Linked DNA regions of Oryzias latipes. The protein of the gene in region 1 interacts with the protein of each later gene in a pairwise test. Links are inferred from orthologs where the notes say so. Each region holds a gene or a part of one and is shown on either strand. Other genes may lie near its edges.

Evidence for each region.
Region 2: the proteins of putative transcription factor p65 homolog (region 1) and nucleophosmin interact in a two-hybrid assay, tested with the Homo sapiens proteins (2 studies listed by BioGRID and IntAct). The link is inferred for Oryzias latipes from reciprocal best matches to the Homo sapiens genes RELA and NPM1.
Region 3: the proteins of putative transcription factor p65 homolog (region 1) and nfkbie interact in binary tests that used the Homo sapiens proteins (3 or more experiments, as listed by UniProt). The link is inferred for Oryzias latipes from reciprocal best matches to the Homo sapiens genes RELA and NFKBIE.

The regions. Positions count from the first base shown.
Region 1 is NC_019876.2:27,220,983-27,225,541, forward strand, and holds part of putative transcription factor p65 homolog, read left to right. Parts: intron 1-1,037; coding exon 1,038-1,172; intron 1,173-2,210; coding exon 2,211-2,315; intron 2,316-4,145; coding exon 4,146-4,361; intron 4,362-4,439; coding exon 4,440-4,520; intron 4,521-4,559. UniProt on the Homo sapiens protein: NF-kappa-B is a pleiotropic transcription factor present in almost all cell types and is the endpoint of a series of signal transduction events that are initiated by a vast array of stimuli related to many biological processes such as inflammation, immunity, differentiation, cell growth, tumorigenesis and apoptosis.
Region 2 is NC_019872.2:18,721,529-18,726,675, forward strand, and holds the start of nucleophosmin, read left to right. Parts: upstream 1-1,933; 5' UTR 1,934-2,048; coding exon 2,049-2,097; intron 2,098-3,062; coding exon 3,063-3,142; intron 3,143-4,194; coding exon 4,195-4,314; intron 4,315-4,551; coding exon 4,552-4,645; intron 4,646-4,732; coding exon 4,733-4,842; intron 4,843-4,917; coding exon 4,918-4,976; intron 4,977-5,147. UniProt on the Homo sapiens protein: Involved in diverse cellular processes such as ribosome biogenesis, centrosome duplication, protein chaperoning, histone assembly, cell proliferation, and regulation of tumor suppressors p53/TP53 and ARF.
Region 3 is NC_019882.2:5,907,097-5,912,203, reverse strand, and holds the start of nfkbie (NF-kappa-B inhibitor epsilon), read left to right. Parts: upstream 1-1,893; 5' UTR 1,894-2,367; coding exon 2,368-2,687; intron 2,688-4,551; coding exon 4,552-4,654; intron 4,655-5,107. UniProt on the Homo sapiens protein: Sequesters NF-kappa-B transcription factor complexes in the cytoplasm, thereby inhibiting their activity. Sequestered complexes include NFKB1-RELA (p50-p65) and NFKB1-REL (p50-c-Rel) complexes.

The sequences.
Region 1 (4,559 bases):
CTTTTGTTATTGTCTCCTTACCAAAAAACAAACAAAACGTAAAGTTCAGGAGAAGAACGGTCAGGTTCTCCTCCATGTTGGTTTGAACTCCACCTGCTGAACACGTCATCAGCACAACACGGGCCAAAGCCGAGTCCCTGAGTGGCTGAATTGAAAGCCAAAGTTTAGATATTTGAATTCTGGCTGCAGCCCCTAAAATGTGTCATTATGCCCAAAGAAACGGGCGGCGGGATCTCTGACCGCGTTTGTCCGTTGGAACGTTGGAACTGGATGCCACTGACGCACGGTATGCAGTATGAACTCGGCTTTAGTGTTACAAGGTGTTTTTTTTTCATGAAGGGTTCTTGTTTGTTTCAATTCAAAGATGAGTTTTCTTGATAAAAATAAGGCGTTTTTTTGTGTGTGGTCTTTTTTTAGAGCTGCTGTCACTGCCAAAGCACTGAAACTATTCTATTCTGATTCACAAGTTCCCCATTTGGTTTTCTATTTCACCCAAATTTTCCCATGCAGTCGTCCCTCGTTTATCGACGTAGTCATTCTAAAAATAACCCGTGATACGTGAGGGTGCAGTTACTTTAAGTCACTTTCTTTCTGCAGAAGATGAACGTAATCTTTAGTGAAAACTGGACGTCTCATTTACATGAGGGGCTTTTAAAGTGAAAAAATGACAGCTGACAATGTTTTTGGTTAAATAAGGGCATCAAAGCCTGAAGTCTTTTGGAAATCAGAATGCAGTGTTTGGTACCAGATTCGCAGTGGGTGTAAATGAGAAGGACGGCTGCTGTGAAGCCTCTGTGGCTCCTTATCTCCACAGCGCTGCGTGCCTTCATTGTGGTTTGTTTCTGCACAGCCCTGCATGTCATCCAGTTGGTGTCTTGCTGTCATATTTTTATGCCCCGGCTTTGAAACAAGATGACTTTTCTTTTCCATCTCCAAACCTTGTAGAAGTGAAAGCAGCCCTTTCTGTTTCATATTGCTGTCAGGTCACGAACACACATCGGCGCTGCCTGACTTCCTTTCTGTGGTTTCCCTTACAGTTCCTGAGTCCAAGGTGTGGGAGGAGGAGTTTGACCTGAATTCGGTGCGGCTTTGCTTCCAGGCCAAGATCACGCTCCCCACAGGGGAGCTGTACCCTCTGGAGCCGGTCGTGTCACAGCCCATCTACGACAACAGTGAGTGGAAAACCAGTCTGCCCGCTTTGGAGCCGCAGTTTTTCCTGGGAAGACGTTCAGCAAAGCTCAGACATTTTAGCAAACCTCCGTCAGGAAGCAGAGGAAGAGAGGCCGGGTGGGCTCCACTCATGGGAAGCTTGATTGCTTGGGTAAACACTGTAAAGTCTTGCGATCTAATGATACTGTACTGGGTGCGTCATAAACAGCTTGAAACCGTCTGCGTCCACAGACGCTCTTTGTTCCTCTTTGGAGGAAAGATTTTTCTTATTTGCCTGAAATGATTTACAAGAATCATTCCTCAATAATTCTATATTATAGATATTATATAACAGTAAACTTTAACTAAACAGACTAAAATAAACTGGGCATCCCTGCCCTTAGACCCTTTAAAGACGCACTCTGATGAAAATTGGATTTTTGGTGTTTTTTACACGCTCTTGTGGTGTTTTTCTGACAAAAATTTAGCTTAAATTTGCATTTGTGGGTATTTCTGTTTTCCGAATCATTGTGAATCAAGAGCAGATGAAAAATGTAATTTGAAAAAGATCACATCTGCGAGCGTATCTGCATCCACTGTCAGACCAATAGAGGCGTGAACGTCTTCGTTTTTCTCGTCTGAGCTGGAATCTGGCTCCAAACTGTACGGCTGGATAGCTCCAATATTGCTCGCCATTTTTGTTGCACCGCTAATGCTAGGTTAAGCTAGCAGGTGAGAGTGTAAACAGATGGATCACGGGAAGTGAGGTCGTGCTTACTCCACAGCAACGGTTCTGCCCACAACTCAGAGGGGAATCTCTAATTAACTCCTACCGCTCTGCAGAAACTTTGTCCAAAAAACAGATGCTTTATTTTGTCTACAAACGGCAAACTCATAATTAGAGGACCACTGGGAACACTTTGAAAATAAATCAAAAGATGATTTGACCACCTTTGAAGAATTGACATTAATTTGCAAAACTCAAATTCTTCCCAAATGGACAACTTTAGACAATTCTTTATTTGAAAGTATCCGTCTTTCAATACTTTTGCTTCTTGCAGGGGCGCCAAACACAGCCGAGTTAAAGATCTGCAGAATCAACCGGAACTCTGGAACCTGCAAAGGAGGCGATGAAATCTTTCTGCTGTGTGACAAAGTGCAAAAAGGTGAGGCTTCCACCAAACAGACGTTACTGCAGATGCGTGAGGGGGCTCTGCAGCAGACGGGGTCGACAGACCATGTCCGCTGGCTCCTACTACAAAAGAATCTTTCAAAATAAAGTACCAAATGATCACATCAAGGTCTGTTTGTTTTTCCCAGTGACATGAGGGCTCTCATAACTTAGCATCAAACTTTTCTGATGCTGTGTTCCTCCGTGTCTTAACCCTTTGATGCCTGAATTTGTTACCAGCTGTGAAAACATTGGCTTAAGTTTTTGCTTTCGATGCTAAATTAAGGCAAGACTGGAGCAGAAGTGGTTTGATGCATATTTGCATTTTTAGGCGTCGAGGGGTTAAATGTGAAAGCGTGCAGATATAGACTAGTAAAACAGAAACTACATCCTTCTGCATTCTGGGAACACTCAACACAACCTCCTCCACGAACCTCCTCCTTGGTCTTCCTCTCTTTCCTGGTAGCTCCAACCTCAGCATCTTTTCGCCGACATCATCACTGTTCCTCCTCTCAACCTGTCCAAACCCTCTCCATCTGCTTCTCTGCATTGATCTCCACAACCAGGATCTGTTCCTCTGATGGTCATTCCAGATCCACCCGGACCACTCCAAAAGAGAACCTCAGCATCTTCATCTCTGCTGCCTCCAGCTCTGCCTCAGAGCCCCTTAACCAGATATCACCAAATGGCGGACCGCGGTCCACATCCGGACCAACAGACTCTTCTCTCCGGTGTAGATACAATAACTGTTCGGCCTACAACTACCGTTCGGGGTCCTTCCAGTCACACTACGGTGGCCCCACTTGGACAAACTATGTAGCATGGAGATCTGCTCGGGCTCTACATATTTTCATTTCACGTTTCTTTTTGCAACGTAAAGTTATTTTCCTTCATAAGTTCTGTCCTACATTATTGTTTGTAGTGTTTATAGAGAGATTTAGCCACAACCCACTTTGTAAGAAGATCTGTGGCTGTTAGAATGAACCTGCTGCTCCACAGAGTGAACCGTGTCTCTGATCAGAGCAGCCAGAGTCTTGTAGCTTCGTGTTCATAGGCGGGGAAGGTGCTTTGTTAGAGTGTTCGGTCCGGAGAAGGGTTCAGAACGCAGGCCGTTTGGCTACAAATGGACTTAATAATAATCAGAACAATAATAAAAGCACGTTTACAAGATAACCCCGCTCTGTGTCGGAGCTCTGTTTGCTTACTCTGGACTTCATAATGTCTTTTTCTATGGTAGTGTCATAATTTGTCCAGACCAATCACTATCTAAAACGTCATCGGACCAACGGACAGCCAATCACATAATGTGACCTCAGCACTACTCGAAGGACCCCTGACGGTTGTTGTAGGCCGAACGGTTATGGTACCTACACCGGCGGTCCACATCTGGACCCTCCTTGGCTCCATGATCACTTTAGCTGCAGATGACCCTCCCGATCTCCCATAGTATGTGTCACCTCCTCCCTAAAAGCCAAACAGCACTTTTCCTTTCTCAACTTCCACCTCTTGGTCCTCTGCCCTTGTTTTCTTTATCTTCCTCGCACCTCACAGCTTTGCAGGTACTGATGTCGTTCACGTTTCGTCAGCACAGGAATCTGTCGCCTTAAAGCCGTTGGTGCATCAGCACAGTTGGATCTTTGAAAATTCGCCTTTTCACGTGTGAGGAAAGCATTCAGGCGGCTTTTCAGACTGCTGCCCTACGGAAGCTGGTTTACCAGCGAAACTCCAGAGACGGCGGTGTCTTTCTGTGACCAGCTGGGATTTGTCAAAGCACCGCACACTCCTCAATTCTTTGGTGTTCTCCCATGTTCCCGTCTCCCTGCAGAGGACATCGAGGTGCGTTTCTTCCAGGACTCCTGGGAGGGGAAGGGCACCTTCTCCCAGGCGGACGTGCACAGGCAGGTGGCGATCGTCTTCCGCACGCCGCCCTACCGTGACACCAACCTTGTTGAGCCAGTTAAGGTGAAGATGCAGCTTCGGCGGCCGTCTGACCGTGAAGTGAGCGAGCCTGTGGACTTCCAGTACCTACCAGCTGACCCAGGTAAGATGCACACATCTCTACCTTCCTAGGACATGTCATGCATTCATCCTCATGTGAAATCTTTCACTCTTCCTAAAGATGAATACCGGCTGAATGAGAAGAGAAAGCGGACAGCAGATGTATTCCAGAACTTGAAGCTGGGGTCGATGCTGTCCAGTGGTACGCTCACTAGATACTGTTAGCTGTTCTTTGAAGGTT
Region 2 (5,147 bases), on another chromosome or scaffold:
GATGAAAATAAAAGAAAATATCATAAAATTCAGGAGAAGTGTTTAGGATCAGGCTAATATGTGTCAACAACAACATTTAGCTTCGGATGCATTTAAAGTCCTTACCGCGGGCAGTGCCACAATGTGCATCTTGGCTGTAAATGTGTGGGAAAAACTTCAGCCTTTATTTTGTCTGGACACGATTTGAAACACAAATTCACATGATTGCATGGTTTCTCAGGACTGCCCGAAGCGGCACTTCCGCCTTCAAAAGACGCCTCAAAGCTACTCTTCGGCTCAGAGACTCGGTTCTCCCGGGAGACATGGTCAGATTGAGGTCTGAAGCGTCCTCCGGAGCGTTGTTCATTACAAAGCACCCTTCCCACGAAGACTCCTGCTGCACTGATCAGACATGCTTGGCTCGCACAGAGCATGTAGCCACACCGAGTGAGCACTGACGTCATCGCCCCGCCTCCCCCCTGGAAATGCTCACTGGTATTGACTTGTACTACTTGCGACATCTGTGGCATTGTGCTGTGTGATACAACTTAAGATTTCAGAGTGGCCTTTTCTTGTGGCCAGTGACACTCTAAGGCACACCTGTGCAATAATCATGCTGTCTAATCAGATATGGCACACCTGTGAGGTGGGATGGATTGTCTTGGCAAAGGAGAAGTGCTCACTATCACAGATTCAGACAGATTTGTGAACAAAATTTCAGAGAACTGGTTATTTTGGGTATGTGGAAAATGTTTCACATCTTTTAGTTCATACTAGAGCCCTGCGCGGGACTATTTTCTTCATCCCGCTCCCGCCCGCGCCCGCTGAATTTTTGACCAATCCCGCCCGCTCCCGCAACGTATGCGTTACACTCCCGCCCGCTCCCGCAATATGTATGTCCACTCCCGCCCGCACCCGCAAAACTCATAGAATTTAGTCCCGCACAGTAATAGAGATGCATTGATTTTGTATCGTCTCCCGTCCCGCAGGAACAAAACACGTATTTGTATTGATATTATTACTAAAGAGATTCATGACCTCCTCCAGACTCATCTTTTGATGCATTCCTCTTTTGTGTAATGTGCAACTTAATTATTAAATATATTTTCACAAATCCTGTTCGGTTAAAAGTGTGCGTGTGTGCGCGCGCAGACAGACGGCCTGAAGCGCGCTCTTAGTAAGAGGCGGGGCGGGGCGCACCCCCAACAACAGGTTAGATGACAGAAGCCATTGGGCGTCTCTACCTGGTGCCTTCACGGAGCTTCAGTACATAAGAATCAAACAGCCGCACAGCCTAACGTAGTCCGCTAATATATATTCATGAGATATTCATGGCAGCACTGATCCCGCGGGGTTTATTTTTTGCCGCCCGCTCCCGCCCGCAGCACAATTCAAACCGCCCAATCCCGCGAGATTTGGGTTGGGTCCCGCGGGACCCGGCGGGACCCGATCCCAATGCAGCCCTCTAGTTCATACCATAAAAAATGGGAGCAATAACAAATGTGTTGCGTTCATATTTTTGGTCAGTGTAATTATGCTCCAGAAAAACTTATATGGAACTTCCGTTCAGAAAGTGAGGTTGAACTTTTGTCACAATTTAAATTCGAATCTCATGTAAAACCTTTTTATTAATGTTTTTTTAATCAAAAATATTAACATTCCATGACTTTTCCAAAACTTTCCAGAAGATTTCGTTTTTCACAAACTGTTCAAGAACTTAAAACATTGCATTTTCAATTTCCAAAACTTTTCTAGGTTTTTCATGACCGTATGAACCCTGTATCAAACGCCTCACAAAATCTGGGAAGAAAATGAAGCTTTCGTCAGTAATAACGTCTGAATAATCAATAAAATCAGAAACTAGCTTTAGATTGTTTTAAATGCATCTGTCTTTCAATATGAATTTCTAACACCCCCTAAGCACTAACTTCCGCCGAGCTGTAGGAGGCGCTCTCACCCACTGGATCACTTCCGTTTCAGCAGAGTAGAAGAACAGCCCCATCAGTCCTTCCATCCACGATCAGTGATTGTTCCCGTGCAGATCAGCGGCGGTCGTGTCAGTCAGCAAAATGAACGGTTTGGACGAAGAATCGTTGGCACCACAGACATTTTTATATGGTAAGAGAAGTTGGTAGGTTTGCTTTTCTTCTTCGTGCACGTTGGACACACGTGTGTGTATAGCTCGTGCGAGGAGGTGGAGCGGCCGCTGAGGCGCGCGCGGTCCATTTTTGAATAAAATTGAATGTGTAACGTTAAAGAAAGGGACATAAAATGTGTAGTCTGTTTTTATTTTATGACTTATGTGTTTTATTGACTGGATCATGACTGGAAATACGGCGTCAGACTTATTACGCACATGCTCCTTGAATATATCAACATGGCGGTCGCCGTGCTTTTTTTCTCCCCAAATGAAAACTACGTTTCTGACAAATACAGCTCATATTAATATTGCTTTTTAATTTACCCTAGCATAAGATATTCGTTGTGAAAAAATAAATAGATAAAAAGCTTTAAATTAAATTGCAAGACCATGAACTAATTTCTAGAAAATTCGACAACGTGGTTTCCAGCGTGCCGTTAGGCCCCTCCCCCTTTAAAGCTGACCTAATTAATTCCCTTTAGAAATATACTTACGTTTATATTTATTCACATTTGTTTATAATACAATTGCATATATTTTCTTTTGTTCTTCATTTCGTGATGTTATACGTTTTAGTCCTTTTATTGTAATCTGTTTCGTTTGCCACGTGGTGCAGAGAAAAAAAAGATTCTTTTTCTTTCATAAAGATTTATTTTAGATGGTGAAACAGTTGTTTAGAAATGAAGTCAAAATAGTTTTTATCTTCCAGTAAGTCATTACAAATTTGAAATTTACTCCTGCCAACACTTAAAAAAAACTATTTAGAGTCTCTAGAGTTTGTTTTTATTTTAAATAAATTATATCCAAGATAAAATATGGGAACTTTAAAACTGTTAAGCGGAAATCAAATACTTTTTTCTCCCACGTGGTGCATCGTTTAGAGCGCCCTCTAGTGTTGAGTTTGATATTTTCTCTCATTTTAAAACCGTTTTTTGTCTTTTAGGATGCACATTGGAGGCTGGGAAGGAAGTGCTCTTCAGTCCTGAAGATGATGAGCTGGAGCATCAGTTAGATCTCAAACTGGTAATTATAATGAAATGAAGACTACAGTTCTGTGATATTCTTGCGTTTGAGCTCTCATGTCGAATAAATTTTTAGGCACATCAATGGAAATATTTTGGATTTTAGCTTGAAGTCCTGTTTGTGGGTTTAAATGAGCGGATTTTTATCATTTTAAACTGCGTTTAAATTTCAGGCTTTATTTAATGAATTTAAATGTATTGAATTATAATGCATTAAAAGTCCCACTTGATCTTTTGTCAAAGTGTTCCCAGTGGCTTTTAAGCATGATAATGCCAATTTATGCCAAAAAAAAGTATTAAAAAGTGGTCTTGTAGGACATAGTTTCTGCAGGCCGCCAGGAAAAATGTGCCTCCGCCCCCTAACTTCATGTTTGAGCAGCCTAACTCAGTAAAACTATGTAAATGTTTTTCGCGCTTCTACTGGAATCTAGGCAGTCAGGGGCTCGGAGTAGCTGGTTTACCAAATGAACCCAGACACTAGGACAGGCCTGATGGTGCCTGCGTTTGTCTTTCAAATAACGAAACACTCTCCTAGCATGGTGGTTATCAGTTTCAATCATTGCAAGGGTGTTGGCAACGAACCAAAATGTTATCGTTTTGTGCCCAAATTGTGAGATTTGCACCGTTTTGACATTTGGCACCAAGCCTCTTCCAGCTATAGGTTTGGACGTGTTGGTGGTCTCTCCTTGCTTGTCCACAATGGGCTATGTGAATCTAGCTCAACATTAGCAGTGCAATAAAATGGTGAGCAATGTTGAAGCTATTCAGCCGTTCAGTTTGCAACAAATCAGCTCAGACGAGGAAGACGTGGATCTAGTAGTCAACAAGTCGACGCAGGATGGACCGGAGCAGGGAACGTTTGGCACGTTCATTGTAGCACCAGCGCCACAAATAGAATTACATTTCTTTCATCTGCTCCTCATTCGTGACTTAAAATAGACTCAAAAATTCAGGTTTAAGCTCAGTTTTCTTTAAATATGTCCTTCATTGTGAGAAGAATGCTACAAGAATGTTTAAAACGTAGCTCAGACCTTGTCTTGTTTGCCCCTTCAGGCTTGTGTTGACCCCAGCACCAAAGACGAGCTTAACATGGTGGAGGTGGAAGGACAGAACGCAGAGGGGCAGAAAATCAAGGCAGCTCTGGTGTCACTCAAACCCTCCACCCTTCCAAGTGTAAGTACACACAGTTCTCCTTCACTCACCTGAAAGGATATTTTACAGTTAGCCTTTGTATGGAGGACTGTACTGACAGATCTCAAATTTCGGAATAATTTTTTTTTTCTGAAGAAAAGATCTGTGACGTTGATGTGTTGTAGGTTAAGTTCCTGAAGCCCATTCTGTTTGTTTCGGCGCATTTAAATATGGATCTTTAAAGCCAGCTTGTGTGACCTTGCATGCTTGATTTCGTAGGTGTGTCTCGGCGGGTTCACGATCACACCCCCAGCAGTGTTCCGTCTGAAGGCGGGTTCCGGTCCGATCCATCTGAGCGGACAGCACCTCGTCAGTAAGTGTTTTTCTGAAGATGGTTCTTTTATCTGCCCTTCTGTGGGTCTGCATTCATCACACCATCTGCTGTCTAATCTGCTTTCAGTGATGGAGGCGGATCAATCCTTTGAAGAGGAAGACGACGAGGAGGAAGAGGAGGAGGAGGTGAAAACATCAAAGAAGAGGCCTGCTTCATCCCCTGCTGCCAAATCTCAGGTTTGACTTAAAAACTTTAACAAATGCCATAAAATGTGATGTGCTGGTTTTTACCTTCTTCTGATCTGCTGACAGAAAAAGATGAAAATGGACTTGGATGATGATGAAGATGAAGACGATGAGGATGATGATGAGTGAGTATTAACATTCTGACGGCAAATGTTTTCTTTTGTGTCTTGGTGTTGTCAGAAATCCAAATGGTGTTTGGGCCCAAAGTGGCGGGTCCTGGATCAGGTGTTTGTCTCTGAGGTCATTCCCAAAACTACATTCATATTTAGAAATTTGACTTTTTTCCTTTTAACATA
Region 3 (5,107 bases), on another chromosome or scaffold:
TTTGGTTGCATTATAGTACATGAAATTCCAATATAAAGATGTATTTTCACCATGTTCTAACTGCTGCCAATGATTTATTATTATTATTATTATTATTATTATTATTATTATTATTATTATTATTATTATTATTATTCCAGAGAATGTCTGTATTTTTAATATTAACCCTTGTGCTATGCACTTTAACATTGGGAGTTGGGTCATCTAGACCCACTAGACAGTGCGCTGAACCTTTTTTCTTCAATGATTTGTGATCTTCACTGGTGTCCATGGATTACATGAAATCTTTCCACCTTTATCCACCTTTGTCATGGTAGGGAGAACACGTCAATGCAAGGGTGGGGTCATCTAAGATAGCACAAGGGTTATAAACATTGTTTTTATGCATTTTCCCTAATATTGTATTTCATTATGTTACTGATATATTACGGATTATGCTTTTGATTAGAAAATAGAAGTTTTGGATTATTAGGCTTTACAAACACTCAAAAAATGTAACCCTTTTACAATCCTGTGAAACAGAAATTTAAACAAAAAAAAGGAATTGGTCATTCAGTGACGGTGTTAAAAGAAAGCACAAGTTGAGTAATAAGCTCTAAAAAAGATAAAGAAATGTTTAGCATGTATGAAATAACATTTTTCATTCTCGATTTGTGCCTCACTGTGTTTGTGTCTCCATAATCCTGCACAGAATGCATGTTTTTTTTTTTAATATAGTATCGATTGTTGACTTGAATAAAGTGGACTGAGAAAGCATAACAGCGTTAAAAGCAGTGGGTTAGGAGCAATATACACTTGGAAACACTAATTTTTCCACAATATGTCTTCTATATTTTATTTATCCTCTTGAGACCCGGGCTCATTCGGATTGCATTATTTTTAAAAAGTCAGGTATTGTGTTGCAGAAAGGCAAAAAAGATGTGCACACAGTTTAACGAGGTTAGTATTTATAGATTAATGCAACCTCTTAAAAGAAAAACATCAGCTTTGAAAGGCAAAACAAAAGATGCTTTTATTAAAATGTAAGAAAAAGTGTTACTACACATGAAAAAAGACACCAATATTTAAATCTCCTTACATTTACAGTCATTACCTACATACTAGCTTTTTTACATGGCAGTACTTATGAGTATATTATACGATTGTGCCAAATATGCACAAAAAAGTCTACTTTATATGAAACTACAAAGGATAACTGAAATGAATGATCCATGTTGAGGTGATGATCAACCCGCTCATTGCATAATTTGTATCATTTGTATCGTGTGAATACAAAACCTACATGGATCACATTTCTCAAGAACTCAAAAAACACTTTAGTCCCATAAAAATAAGTACCTTCTATGGAATTTTAGGAATACATATATGAGTGAAAATAAGATTATTCAGTTAATGCATTTTCTGAAACCTTGCAGATTTTTGTGTTTGTCCAAAGCGGCCAGCTAAATTGAACTTTCAGGTACAAAGACTTACTAAATGACCCATGTGTTTATTTTAAAGGTCTGTAAAAATAACTAAATATAGGACAAAGTTTTTGTGTCACATATGACGTGGAACTGCTTTTGACAAATAGAAAGAAAACACAAGAAAAAAACGTTAAAGGGCAACAATTTCGTTTCAGACATTTGGTTTTAGATTGTTTGAACTCAAACTCACTTTAAAGAAAATTGTGTTTTTGGTGTTTTATAACATGTTCTTGGCATTTTTCTGATGATGGAGGACATATATGAAAAAAATTAAGGTTTACTATCAAATCAATGAAAATGTATTTATGTATTACAAAAGTAAAATACATCTATTCTTTGACTTCCTGTCGCTGTATGAGAACTTTTATTATGAAACGGTGGCACATCCGCCGTGATGACGTCAGCCTGTTGACGTTCTTTTTTTGAACTTTATATGTACGCGCGTTTGTGGGCATGCGTGCGTATGTGTGTGATTTGTGCGCAGGGGGGATTCCCCCCTCAAAAGTTCTTCCCTTCTCGTCTTTCGTCGCTCGGTGCACTCTGCTTCGAGCTCGCGCCGTAACCGGATATCTCCCCGCTGGTGTTCGCTTGTTTTCGCGTCCTTTCCTCCGAGTGGATTAAGTTTCCCGAACTCCTCTTAAAAAAAAAAAAAGCCTCGGAAAGTTGACGAGTGTCCGTCGGGCCCGGTGTTACTGTTACGAGCTGAAGCGCGGTGGGTTTGTGTTATGAGACGTAGCGGCTCATTCCTCCGGCTTCACAAAAGAGCGGTGGTTTCCTCTCGCAGCTGCAGCAGTAGCGGGCTGCCCGGACACCGAGCTATCGGCGGCGGCACGCGCTAGTTAACTCCTCTGGTAAACGGCTGGAGGGGGGGGGAGCCCCGACAAGGCCAGCAGCTTTTGCCATGTCGCGCGTCGACCGTTGCAAAGATGACTCGCTGGAGGACACGCGCATAGACTCGGGCATCGACTCGTCGTACCGCGCCACGCTACACTCAGAGGAGCGCCGCGAGCCGAGCGTGGACTTCGGCGGCCCGAGGGACAAGTTTTCCACCGCGGATGAGCGCGTGGACTCGGCTTACGGATCCTCGTCCATGACCACGGACAGCCTGTCAGAGATGGTGCACGACTGGAGTCTTAGAGACGGCGAGGAGCAGCAGCCGCAAAGTCCTGATGAACTCTCAGAGGAGAACATTCTCACGTCCATCACGGAAGATGGAGACACGTAAGGCTTTTATTTTGTTAAATGTAAATATAAAAATAAAAAGCATCCTCCAATGACTTTGGAGGCTCCTTCACTTTACAGCTGTTATACCTTTTATTATAATCTGGATTATTTTAGGTGAATGCATCAAAGAAGTTTCACACAGATGTTTATGGAGATGCATACATTGAGGGGACTTGTCAGTCCGTTTTCCCATGAAATTCAGCACCAATAGAAGATTTTCTCTTCTTTTTCTATTATTATAAAAAAAACTCTGCTCCATATTATGAATGTGGATGGTCTGCTGTAAGGCGTTACTCAGTAAGAAAACAGAAGTGAAACAGATAGGCCTGGACTTCCCCTGCAGTTCAGACAAAGCACATGCTGTGAGGTAGCTGGATAGTTTGCTTTTCATCCAAGAAACTTGTTGATCAGGACAACTCAAGTCTGCATTTCCCTCGCCACCAAGTCAAACACAAGCCTGTGAATTTCCCAAAAAAAAAAAAAAAAACAGATCAAATGTCAGTGGATTTTTGCAGCTTCTTCCTTCTCCGTTTGACTAAATGATGCAGCTTTTTCTTTGTTTTTTTTCTTTTTCTTTTCTCTGTAAGGTCTGCCTCACCTTGTCCCGCCACGCCGTTCTGATAAAAAAAAAATTCGACTCTTGCAGCCAGAAACGGAGCATGGCAGAAGTTTTGCTGTGTGTCTGACCTCTTTTCATTTCCGTTGGTAGAACCACATGGTTTCATTCTCACACCAGAACTATAGATACCTGCTCAGAAAGAGGGGGAAAAAAAACACCTTCAACACATCACTCCAAACACTCATTCTCCCCCGTGGGAGTTTTCTTTTTTTCTTTCTCCCTTTCTTTTTTGGTCTTATTCATTTAAGGCCGTCTCAAACTCAAAGGAAGTTACTTGCATGCCAGAATATTTGCTTCCAGCCATGACTTTGGTTCATCTGAGCCTGCAGGCATTTAAATCCCTTCTCTCTGATGGAGCAGGTTTAATAAATAGTGTTTGTGCATTTCGACCACAAATACTTATTGGTTTGATCACATATTTTAATACTGATATATTTAAGGTGGCCAGGTCAGAAAATGTCAGGAATTACTTAGTTTAAAGGGGTTTTTTCTTTGAATTTAGATGAAATTAGTTAATGCATTTCACTGCAGCTATTCAGGAAAGCTTTTGATTCATTTTGGAAGAATATTTAAAAATGAGGATTTTTGTTGTGTTGTCTTCAGAAACATGAGACATTTGACATTTTAGCAGGTTAGATTAAAGGTTTTCATTGTGATTTTTGTGGGAACCGTTGGTAGCAGACGGATCACTTCTGGTTTCACTGTTTATTCATAAAAGCATGAGGGTTTTTTTGGGAGGGATTTGATTCAAACTTTTCAGGGTTTAACTGTAATGTCCAGCTGTTTGTGGGAAATTCATTCTCTGGAATGATAACATGATTTGGAGGTTTAATGTGAAGCAAAAACAAACTAACCTCAAAACCGTAGTGGGAACTTGTAACAATTAAATGTTTGCACGAAGCAGGAAATGAAGCTCAGGATCGGTGCTTAATTTAGACTGAGGAAGGAGGGGGAAAAAAACCTAAAAGGGCCCCATTTTTATCGTAACCTTTTATATCCGCTTTAGTTTTGTCATTTGCAGTAGCCCGACCGCCCAGGTTTACCAGTCAATCTCCTTTAGATGAGAACTTCTGATGCAAAAGTGGTTTTACCCCGTTCATTTTGTACTTCCTCAATGTAAAGTGGGTCTGCAGGTTTGTGCATACGTTCACACATCCCCTCTTAACACTTTTAAGTTAAAGCTGCGGGATTATGCAAACTGTGACAGTTGGGCTTTTTTTTTTTCTTCCATTCCTCATGCAGACTCTTGCACCTCGCAATCATCCATGAAGACACGCACATCGCTCAGGAGCTGATACAGCTCTTCCCCAAAGAAGTCCTGGACATCCAGAACAATTTATACCAGGTGAGCTCCGAGCTGGGAATTTTTCAGCCTGGAGGACTTCCTCATTACTGATGTCTTGGTTGTGTGAGCAGTGGCGTTTGCCCGTGTCTGTGCAGTTCCACAGAAGTGTTGTTCCTCTTTATTTGCAGTCCGTCCTCCCCGACGGCTGTCACTGTGGCTGGTTTTTGAGTTAGCTCACGAGGGACTGACACTGGAAACTCCCTCTTCTAGCTGGTGTAGAAAATAGAATGGCAGGGAGCTGCGACATGGTGGGGATGCGGGCACAGGAGTCGTTCCAGTCCTTCAAGAAGCTCGACGAAGGCTTCAGTTGAAGTGACGGACGGAGCTGTCATTTGGAAACATCTGAAGTGTGGAGTCAGCACTTTGTGCACTGACTCAGCTCTCGGTTGCCTCACATTTCCTTTCAGTCATTCTTAGATCTCTCCTTACTAAGAATTTTTCTTTTATTGCTTA